3 linked regions of the Saccharomyces cerevisiae S288C genome follow. The protein of the gene in region 2 purifies or fractionates together with the protein of the main gene of each other region. This does not show direct contact. Each region holds a gene or a part of one and is shown on either strand. Other genes may lie near its edges.

Region 1 (3,900 bases), on a different chromosome or scaffold from region 2:
CCGAAAAGCAATTACTCTCTATGTTAGTCATACAAACTGACTTCTGTGAGAGAATTATTTTCATATCAACGTAAGATCACATGGTTCCTTTATCAAGTACTACTATCATTCCATTATATGACCTATTTACTTCTTGAATCTTAGAGCTCATAATTCAAGCAAGTTGCGGAGCTAAGAATTTCACATGTTGTTGAACTTAACAATCTTCATTATACCCAATCGCTGCGTGCTGGAATTATGTTAAAAGTTACATCCTTTTTTTCATTTTTCCCTACGCTCAGGGCACTGTACTGCCCGTGCCTGCGATGAGATACATCAATTTAAAAAAAAAACCAGCATGCTATAATGCTGGAGCAAAAATTTCAATCAGAAATAGAAAAGACCTCAACAGTAATTAACCCAAAGGGGTATCAAATAATCGATGTGCTTTTTCACTCTACGAATGATCTGTGAGAAACTGATTTGGGCCGAATCGCGTAAAAAGTTTGATTCGTGGCGGCTAATGTCTGAGGGGCTCCAACAGGCTCGTAGAGCCTCGTTTCTTGAGGGCACAAAATGTCCAGGTAATATTCCCAAGAAAGAACCGCAGAGTGCTTTGATAAATCGGTTACAGGTCTTAACGTAGGTTTTGTCTCGCTAATTGCTATTGAGTAAGTTCGATCCGTTTGGCGTCTTTTGGGGTGTAACGCCAAACTTATTACTTTTCCTATTTGAGGTTGGTATTGATTGTTGTCAAAGAATGAAAATATACACAAACGCCACAATATACGTACCAGGTTCACGAAAACTGATCGTATGGTTCATACCCTGACTTGGCAAACCTAATGTGACCGTCGCTGATTAGCGGATCACGAAAAGTGATCTCGATACAATTAGAGGATCCACGAAAATGATGTGAATGAATACATGAAAGATTCATGAGATCTGACAACATGGTAGACGTGTGTGTCTCATGGAAATTGATGCAGTTGAAGACATGTGCGTCACGAAAAAAGAAATCAATCCTACACAGGGCTTAAGGGCAAATGTATTCATGTGTGTCACGAAAAGTGATGTAACTAAATACACGATTACCATGGAAATTAACGTACCTTTTTTGTGCGTGTATTGAAATATTATGACATATTACAGAAAGGGTTCGCAAGTCCTGTTTCTATGCCTTTCTCTTAGTAATTCACGAAATAAACCTATGGTTTACGAAATGATCCACGAAAATCATGTTATTATTTACATCAACATATCGCGAAAATTCATGTCATGTCCACATTAACATCATTGCAGAGCAACAATTCATTTTCATAGAGAAATTTGCTACTATCACCCACTAGTACTACCATTGGTACCTACTACTTTGAATTGTACTACCGCTGGGCGTTATTAGGTGTGAAACCACGAAAAGTTCACCATAACTTCGAATAAAGTCGCGGAAAAAAGTAAACAGCTATTGCTACTCAAATGAGGTTTGCAGAAGCTTGTTGAAGCATGATGAAGCGTTCTAAACGCACTATTCATCATTAAATATTTAAAGCTCATAAAATTGTATTCAATTCCTATTCTAAATGGCTTTTATTTCTATTACAACTATTAGCTCTAAATCCATATCCTCATAAGCAGCAATCAATTCTATCTATACTTTAAAATGCTTTCTGAAAACACGACTATTCTGATGGCTAACGGTGAAATTAAAGACATCGCAAACGTCACGGCTAACTCTTACGTTATGTGCGCAGATGGCTCCGCTGCCCGCGTCATAAATGTCACACAGGGCTATCAGAAAATCTATAATATACAGCAAAAAACCAAACACAGAGCTTTTGAAGGTGAACCTGGTAGGTTAGATCCCAGGCGTAGAACAGTTTATCAGCGTCTTGCATTACAATGTACTGCAGGTCATAAATTGTCAGTCAGGGTCCCTACCAAACCACTGTTGGAAAAAAGTGGTAGAAATGCCACCAAATATAAAGTGAGATGGAGAAATCTGCAGCAATGTCAGACGCTTGATGGTAGGATAATAATAATTCCAAAAAACCATCATAAGACATTCCCAATGACAGTTGAAGGTGAGTTTGCCGCAAAACGCTTCATAGAAGAAATGGAGCGCTCTAAAGGAGAATATTTCAACTTTGACATTGAAGTTAGAGATTTGGATTATCTTGATGCTCAATTGAGAATTTCTAGCTGCATAAGATTTGGTCCAGTACTCGCAGGAAATGGTGTTTTATCTAAATTTCTCACTGGACGTAGTGACCTTGTAACTCCTGCTGTAAAAAGTATGGCTTGGATGCTTGGTCTGTGGTTAGGTGACAGTACAACAAAAGAGCCAGAAATCTCAGTAGATAGCTTGGATCCTAAGCTAATGGAGAGTTTAAGAGAAAATGCGAAAATCTGGGGTCTCTACCTTACGGTTTGTGACGATCACGTTCCGCTACGTGCCAAACATGTAAGGCTTCATTATGGAGATGGTCCAGATGAAAACAGGAAGACAAGGAATTTGAGGAAAAATAATCCATTCTGGAAAGCTGTCACAATTTTAAAGTTTAAAAGGGATCTTGATGGAGAGAAGCAAATCCCTGAATTTATGTACGGCGAGCATATAGAAGTTCGTGAAGCATTCTTAGCCGGCTTGATCGACTCAGATGGGTACGTTGTGAAAAAGGGCGAAGGCCCTGAATCTTATAAAATAGCAATTCAAACTGTTTATTCATCCATTATGGACGGAATTGTCCATATTTCAAGATCTCTTGGTATGTCAGCTACTGTGACGACCAGGTCAGCTAGGGAGGAAATCATTGAAGGAAGAAAAGTCCAATGTCAATTTACATACGACTGTAATGTTGCTGGGGGAACAACTTCACAGAATGTTTTGTCATATTGTCGAAGTGGTCACAAAACAAGAGAAGTTCCGCCAATTATAAAAAGGGAACCCGTATATTTCAGCTTCACGGATGATTTCCAGGGTGAGAGTACTGTATATGGGCTTACGATAGAAGGCCATAAAAATTTCTTGCTTGGCAACAAAATAGAAGTGAAATCATGTCGAGGCTGCTGTGTGGGAGAACAGCTTAAAATATCACAAAAAAAGAATCTAAAACACTGTGTTGCTTGTCCCAGAAAGGGAATCAAGTATTTTTATAAAGATTGGAGTGGTAAAAATCGAGTATGTGCTAGATGCTATGGAAGATACAAATTCAGCGGTCATCACTGTATAAATTGCAAGTATGTACCAGAAGCACGTGAAGTGAAAAAGGCAAAAGACAAAGGCGAAAAATTGGGCATTACGCCCGAAGGTTTGCCAGTTAAAGGACCAGAGTGTATAAAATGTGGCGGAATCTTACAGTTTGATGCTGTCCGCGGGCCTCATAAGAGTTGTGGTAACAACGCAGGTGCGCGCATCTGCTAAAATGTGTATATTAGTTTAAAAAGTTGTATGTAATAAAAGTAAAATTTAATATTTTGGATGAAAAAAACCATTTTTAGACTTTTTCTTAACTAGAATGCTGGAGTAGAAATACGCCATCTCAAGATACAAAAAGCGTTACCGGCACTGATTTGTTTCAACCAGTATATAGATTATTATTGGGTCTTGATCAACTTTCCTCAGACATATCAGTAACAGTTATCAAGCTAAATATTTACGCGAAAGAAAAACAAATATTTTAATTGTGATACTTGTGAATTTTATTTTATTAAGGATACAAAGTTAAGAGAAAACAAAATTTATATACAATATAAGTAATATTCATATATATGTGATGAATGCAGTCTTAACGAGAAGACATGGCCTTGGTGACAACTCTCTTCAAACCAACTTCAGCCTTTCTCAATTCATCAGCAGATGGGTCTTCGATTTGCAAAGCAGCCAAAGCATCGGACAAAGCAGCTTCAATCTTGGACTTGGAA
Region 2 (4,940 bases):
AACACACGATTTGGTTCGAATGTTTTTGGATAACACATATCTGAATTTTATTAATTTTGATAGTTCAAGAGGTTCTAAGGGGTTGCTAGCTAAAAATTTCGCCATCTTGGTCAATAATATGCACAGACACGGTGCATTCACACCTCCTAACGTAAGAACGATACCAGTTCAGACTATTCAGTTTAAAAAAATTTGCGGCCATATCAACCCCATGTATAGTGATTCAATGCAGCAAGATTGTCAAGAATTTTGTCAATTTTTGCTTGATGGCTTGCACGAGGATTTGAACCAAAACGGCAGCAAAAAGCATCTTAAACAGTTATCAGATGAGGAAGAACGAATGAGAGAAAAAATGTCCATACGCAAAGCTAGTGCTCTCGAGTGGGAAAGATTTTTGCTTACCGACTTCAGTGCGATAATTGACCTTTTCCAAGGACAGTACGCATCTAGGCTACAATGTCAAGTTTGTGAACATACCTCCACAACTTACCAAACATTCTCTGTTCTTTCTGTTCCTGTCCCACGCGTTAAAACTTGTAACATATTAGACTGTTTCCGGGAATTCACCAAATGCGAAAGGTTAGGTGTCGATGAACAATGGTCATGTCCTAAATGCTTAAAAAAGCAGCCTTCCACTAAACAACTGAAGATTACTAGATTGCCTAAGAAACTAATTATTAATTTGAAACGATTTGACAATCAAATGAATAAGAATAATGTGTTTGTCCAATATCCTTACTCCTTAGATCTTACACCATATTGGGCGAGAGATTTTAATCATGAAGCTATTGTTAATGAGGACATTCCTACCAGGGGCCAAGTACCACCATTTAGATACAGACTGTATGGGGTTGCATGTCATTCGGGGAGTTTGTATGGGGGACACTATACTTCATACGTTTATAAGGGACCAAAAAAAGGTTGGTATTTTTTCGATGACTCGCTTTATCGTCCTATAACGTTTAGTACTGAATTTATCACACCCAGTGCATATGTTTTATTTTACGAAAGAATTTTTTGAATCAAATTACCGGTTTGCAACACATGAATGGCGCACATTGAGGCACAAATACAATCTGCATATTATATACTTAACAGAAGTACAATCATATACAATACAAACAACAATTGACGAAACAATGAAAGTATGTACATCCTTATACTTATCTATTTGTGTTATGGGCTACATACGTAGAGGCCGATCACAATATCAGTGGTTGCTCATTGGAAAAGGAGGGATGCAGCAAATTCTGCATTTCCGTTAGTCTGTTTAAGAGCCTTTACCACAGCATCCCTAGGGAAACCTAGATCCATAAGCTGTTTAATCGTTTGTTCGGGAAACGTTCTCCCGGTTGCCGTTGTAGCACCGGCTGTACTTCTTCCCGTAGGTGTTGGCCCCATACCAGTCCTTGGAGCAAGCGCAGGAACAGCCCCCGGTTGTGGTGGTAGAGTTGAACTAGTCTTGGTGGGTGTTAGGGGCTTATCAGACGAAGTTGTAACTGACGTTGGTGCTGGAAGTCCTTCTTGAAAACTTTTTGGGATTTCCGCTTCACTCAAAAAGCTTGTCTCCACTTCTGCTATCCTAAGAACGTTTTCCTTTAAGTCCACACAAGCCAAATGCCTTTTCAGCATGTCTAGTCCTATCAAAACATCGATGTCAGTATCTAAGACGGTAAAACTGCATGGAATATATTGTGTTTCTATTTTGACTTGGGCTTGGTGAATTCTCCCAATAATTTTGCCGGTTCCTACGCCACGAGCTTCTCCAATAAATCTCTTGTCAATCATTCTCGACAGGCCAGTTTTCTTCGCTAACCTGGTGGACATAATCGTTGTTTGAGCCCCTGTATCTACAAATGCCTTTACGGGGTAGTTATTTATTTCGATATTAATGTAAAGCATAGGGACCTGGGTAAACATTTCAGGTGTATATTCGATAGCATTGCGCAACTGTTCATCGATAGCTTGTTGGTCTAAAAGCTCTGCAATCCTCTTCTTGTTGTCAGGATCATCGGGGTTGGCCATTAGTCTAGTATATTCATCTTGGGGGATGCCAAAAGGATTCATGGCGGTGTTATAGCCACCATAACGTCTTTGTAATATGAGCGGGCCCAATCTTTCCCTAAACAACAGTGGGTCATTTACTAAATCATTCAATCCAGGGATTTGCAAAATGAGTTGTGATCTAAGCATTTGATTATTAAGTAGCTCTTGTCTAAATTGCTCTATGAACGCTTCGTCGGACAAAGTAGCAGCATCTGTTTGAATGGAATTGGAAATCTTACCCCTAATCAATAATAAGTCATCGGTTTTGAGCCCTAGTTCTTTTAAAGACTGAGTTCTGTTTGAGTCTAGAATGTCCATATTGTAATATAAGTCGTGTTTTGTTTTGTCAAACCCGCAATCGGCCTGCAGTAATGCTATTAGATCAGTTAAAGCCATATCTTCACTGACTTCAATTGGGCCGTATATCTCGCCAGTAAGTTCGTTTGAAATTGTTAAATCCATCTTTACGTATATTTTTGCTGTTATGTTTGGTATGTACTTTGTTAACTACGTTAAGTATACTTTCTTATTCGACCTACTTTATATATCATTTTGGTATTATTATCTTTTCGGTGGCGATGAATTTACAGGGCGGGGTGGCGACGGGAATTCTTACATAAAGTTTAAGTTATCTATGAATCAATGAGAATTGGCCACTGCCCTCTGATATGACGATGGAAGTGGTACTTTTCCTTTTTAATTTTTTACTGAGAATCAAGAGAAGCTAGAGAGGGATTGGTCTCAATGAAACTAAAAAGGGAGTATGATGAGTTAATAAAAGCAGACGCTGTTAAGGAAATAGCAAAAGAATTAGGGTCTCGACCTCTAGAGGTTGCTCTTCCTGAGAAATATATTGCTAGACATGAAGAAAAGTTCAATATGGCTTGCGAACACATTTTAGAGAAAGATCCATCACTTTTTCCCATACTTAAGAATAATGAATTTACGTTGTACTTGAAGGAGACTCAAGTCCCTAATACACTCGAAGATTATTTTATTAGGCTTGCAAGCACAATTTTGTCTCAACAGATCAGTGGCCAAGCAGCTGAAAGCATCAAGGCAAGGGTTGTCAGTCTTTATGGCGGTGCATTTCCTGATTACAAAATCCTTTTCGAAGACTTCAAAGACCCAGCAAAATGTGCAGAAATCGCAAAATGTGGATTGAGTAAAAGGAAAATGATATATCTAGAGTCTCTTGCTGTCTATTTTACTGAAAAATATAAGGATATCGAAAAGCTCTTCGGTCAAAAAGATAATGATGAGGAAGTGATTGAAAGTTTAGTTACGAATGTAAAAGGTATAGGCCCATGGAGTGCCAAAATGTTCTTGATCTCCGGATTGAAAAGAATGGATGTATTTGCTCCTGAAGATCTAGGTATTGCTAGGGGTTTTTCAAAATACCTTTCAGATAAGCCAGAATTGGAAAAAGAATTAATGCGTGAAAGAAAAGTAGTTAAAAAGAGTAAGATTAAGCATAAGAAATACAACTGGAAAATATATGACGACGACATAATGGAAAAATGCTCTGAAACATTTTCTCCGTATAGGTCTGTGTTTATGTTCATACTTTGGAGGCTCGCGAGCACAAATACAGATGCCATGATGAAGGCAGAAGAAAATTTCGTGAAATCCTAACTTAAAGATATCATGTATTACTGACATTTATATAAGAAAAAAAAAAATAAAAATAAATACACCCTATTGTTGTGTGTGATGCCTACTAAAGAAATTCATATTTACAGCTTCTCGTAGGGATACCAACATATAATAAGAAAAAGCCTCACACATACAATCCAACCATTGGAGCGACAAAGCGGAAAAGCGAGTATACTGTCAATTCTCATAAGAATACCTTTATCCATTATAATGGTTTCGAGGCTAACTTCGACGCTTCACTTAAAATTTTACCGCTAGTTACTTTGCTTGAATGTGGCAAGGTAATGATTACGTTTCTCATCGGAGCTCTTGGCTTCCTTAATTGAGAGGCAAACACCAAAGAACTTGTTAGCAACGCCAAAGCACCAGCTTGATGGATAGAAGCTAACGATATTGGGACTAGGTACAATATAGTTAAAATACCAAGTGTTGCTTGTAAAGTAACGACGCCCATCATAACATGCAAAGAGGTCATCGCGTTCCTTGGAATTACGGCCTTCTTTTTGATAGCGTACATATGAGCAGCTAGTACTGATGTAAACGCAACGTACGCACATGTCCTATGGACCAACTGAACTGTAACCGGGTTTTCTAGCAAATTCCTCCACCACAGATCTTTCTTGTCCTCTCTTCTACAGAAGTTTTCGTCCATTAATTCACGAGAACTAGGGAACCATCGTTCACCCATTTTTGGCCAGGTGTTATAGACCCAACCAGCATCCAAACCGGCAACCATACCGCCACTCATAGCGGTAAGGAAAGACACCGCTAACAAAGCTAAAGAAATCTTTCTCATTGGGCCAATTGCGGGATTATCTAATTTTTTGAAGAGACTAATGGCTTGAACAGGGTTCTTAATCCATTTACATTCTCTCAATATTTCCAAACCAGTCCAGAGCATACCCATGTATAAAAAGAAGGCGGTACCCAAATGCGTAGTAAGTCTATATTGAGAAACGGTAGGCTTTGATTTTCTTGCGTCTAGTTGCTCTTGATCAAGACCAGACTTCACCATCCACCAACCAACAAATCCTTGTAATCCTAATAAACCTGCGAGACCAAACAACCTCTTATTGACATGGCCTGAAGTTTTTTTAGATACAGCGAAATAAACTGCAGGTAATATAAAAACAGCGCCGATAGCACGACCCCACAATCTATGAATCCACTCCATAAAAAATATAAACTTGAACTCGTCTAAATCAATGTGAGAATTCAACAATTTAAATTCTGGTGAT
Region 3 (2,911 bases), on a different chromosome or scaffold from region 2:
GCTGGTTTGAACCAAGAATTGAAGACGTTCGTCCCAATTTGATTCAAATAATTCAGGCTGTCAAGATATTACAGTTGAAGATAAGCAACTTGAACGAGTTCAAGTTACTATTCGATTTCTGGTATGCCTTGAATCCAGCCCAAATACAAGCAATTCTGTTGAAATACAAGCCTGCTAACAAGGGCGAAGCTGGAGTACCGAACGAAATCTTGAATTATTTAGCTAACGTGATCAAAAGAGAAAATCTGTCTTTGCCAGGGAAGATGGAAATTATGCTTTCTGCCCAATTTGACTCTGCTAAAAACCATCTGCGTTATGACACTAGTGCAATAACACAGAACAGCAATACAGAGGGCTTAGCTACTGTCAGTAAAATTATAAAATTAGACAGAAAATAAGAACAAAGTAAATATACGCCCATATATGTATATATGTATATATACATATATCCTACACTACATATGGAAGCTCCCTATATATATAGCATTGCGAGTGAACTTCTATCGACTAAAGTGAACAGCAATGGGGACGATGATTACAACAAGCAATATGATGATTACTAAAGCCAGACACATCTTCATTTTTAGATCCTTGTACCACATGGCTTTTCTGACCCTATTGGCACCCCTCTTAAAGCCTTGGGCTGAGACCGCTAGGTTATCGGCTTTATCTTCAATGGACGTTAATCTTTCACCTCTTTCTGCTACTTTATTTATGTTATCTCTCATTATTCCCACGGTATCATCAATTTCCTAAAAATAAACACGAAGAACGTATATGAATGTATACGCATAAGTATCAACGATGTAGAAAGTTAGTATAATGTTAATTTCCTAGATGGTACTCTGTGGCTTTCTGTACTTACAGCTTGTAGTTCCGCAGTCCTTGACTTAGACTGTACATTCTGGGGTCGTTCTTCATCGTGCTCGGATAGAGCATAAGGGTCAAAGGGAGTAGATGACGACATGGACAATGAATACGTTGCGCTTGCTATGTCTTTGGCGCAAATTTTCAATGTTTAACTAATACTTTTGACGATCTTTCTTATAGATGCTGTGGGAAAGACCCTTAAAAATGTCTGTTACCCTGCAATCAATGGTTGAAACAGCAGGAAGACGCATAATAAAGGCATATGTTTGAAGTTTGTTAGCGAATGAACAATGATAAAAGGAGTGATTGGAAGCTGAAGGTTGAGGATTTAGACTAGTTTTATATTACAACATGGTAGATGTGCAAAAGAGAAAAAAGTTGCTAGCCAAAGCTGCTGCCAGCGCTTCTATTCCGGCAATCAAAGGTTCTGTTCCGTTGGACTCGTATGATATAAAAATCATTCAATATAAGAACGCTCTTTACAAGCTGAATGAACTGAATAGGCTACTAAACGTTCTGGTACCGCATTTGAAGAAGAAAAGAGACAATGACGAGTCCTACAAAATTATTCCCCTCGTTAATTTCATCTTATCACTTTGTGAGGGTCCTATATTTAATGTAAGCCCCGTATTGGCTAAGAGGTACCATTTGCTCTGTCGATTCCAGCTGATAAAGCTAAGCGAAGTGCAGCAGAGATTATCAACTAATTTTATTGATGTAGAGGGCTGGATGTTTCCCGAGGAGGTACCCCTAGATCACTATAAATCGTGCATATACAATAATTCTCTACAATGGAAGATTTTAAATTCGCTGTCTTGCATTGCTCAAAATGCTATAAAAATTTATAATGCCAAGTTGAGACAGATTTTATTGGAAAGGGATGCGTACAAAGCTCGGTCACTTCCATTTGACACTTCAATAATTGAAGACTTGTTAAATCCAGTTGAAATGACATTGATTCTAGATTTAGCCGTTTTGATTAATGATCCAGTAAGGGATAAGTCCACCCATTCCTTTTACAAATTGCAATGGCAAGTGATGGAGAAACTGAACTCCTGTGTTCATTCGAAAATCTTCCCCATTCTAAGGACATATTACAACCAATTGCAGAAATTTTCGGAAACAAGACCTACTTCACTGTCAAATTTACAGAAGGATCTACCACATTGGGAATGGACTCTACACAGGATATACACTTTCCACTTGCGGGTTTTTTCTGTCTTGTGTGTTATTATCAGTTTCTCTAGGCAAATTTTCCTACCGAATAAACAACATTTCTTGGACATCAAGACAAGATTATCCAGCGAAAACGTGTACCATTACGATTTGATAATTTGTGAGCTGATGGCTTTGCTCTCTCCAGAATGTGATGATGTCACAGCTTTATTCGAACTGCAGGAGAATTTAAAATTTTGGACTCAAACGGCGCGTACCGATAACAATTCCTCAAGAACTCCCATTTTCCACCTTCAACCTGGTTTAGTTGTGGAATTGTTTAATAATCATATCTGCAAGATTATACCGAAATTGAGGTCCATTATGGGATTATTATCCAATTGGATGGATTGCTGGAAATATATTGAGAAAAATTATAAAACCTTCGATGAAACCAATGACTTGCGGGAGAATTTGAAAGAAAAGCTAGAAAGAGATAAGGCTCTGTATTTAGAGGTTAAAAACGCGAAAAGTAAGCTAAAGAAGAAGCCGTCAATAACAAAGCTGCCAGCCTCTTCTTCTCCATCCCCCTCACCCACATCTTCAGCAAGCCCATCAAGACAGGCCTCTTTAGAGAGCATAAGAACAAGGGCAAGGGCGCATTTAGCCTCAAATTCTTCTAGGTCTCCCTCAGTATCGCCTGTAAGGACCACTTTCAACAATAAAAACGCAGAAACGAAGAAAAGCGTGGTGTCTCCGGAGAAAAGAAAACTGATCAACGGCAGAAGGCCTAGATCCTCATCTTTGCAATCCTATACAAACAAACAACAAACCTCATATTTGAATTCTACAAGACATCCGTCAATAGCTCCACCTTCAAAGCTCA

The links.
Region 1: the proteins of DDI1 (region 2) and HO purify together in Saccharomyces cerevisiae (affinity purification with western blotting, with the first as the bait; 3 studies listed by BioGRID). This does not show direct contact.
Region 3: the proteins of DDI1 (region 2) and SNC1 purify together in Saccharomyces cerevisiae (affinity purification with western blotting; 2 studies listed by BioGRID). This does not show direct contact.

The regions. Positions count from the first base shown.
Region 1 is NC_001136.10:45,771-49,670, reverse strand, and holds HO (Hop), read left to right. Parts: upstream 1-1,639; coding exon 1,640-3,400; downstream 3,401-3,900. Other genes in the region: Hsp70 family ATPase SSB1, read right to left, coding at 3,765-3,900. UniProt on the Saccharomyces cerevisiae protein: Initiation of mating type interconversion. This protein is a site-specific endonuclease that cleaves a site in the mat locus on chromosome III.
Region 2 is NC_001137.3:453,887-458,826, reverse strand, and holds DDI1 (Ddi1p), read right to left. Parts: upstream 2,509-4,940; coding exon 1,222-2,508; downstream 1-1,221. Other genes in the region: putative ubiquitin-specific protease UBP5, read left to right, coding at 1-1,021; MAG1 (DNA-3-methyladenine glycosylase II), read left to right, coding at 2,791-3,681; COX15 (Cox15p), read right to left, coding at 3,908-4,940. UniProt on the Saccharomyces cerevisiae protein: Aspartic protease. Appears to act as negative regulator of constitutive exocytosis. May act at the level of secretory vesicle docking and fusion as a competitive inhibitor of SNARE assembly.
Region 3 is NC_001133.9:85,342-88,252, reverse strand, and holds SNC1 (SNAP receptor SNC1), read right to left. Parts: upstream 968-2,911; coding exon 866-967; intron 753-865; coding exon 501-752; downstream 1-500. Other genes in the region: MYO4 (myosin 4), read left to right, coding at 1-398; protein phosphatase regulator GIP4, read left to right, coding at 1,222-2,911. UniProt on the Saccharomyces cerevisiae protein: SNC1 and SNC2 are vesicle-targeting proteins essential for normal secretory traffic between the Golgi and the plasma membrane. They may also be involved in vesicle fusion.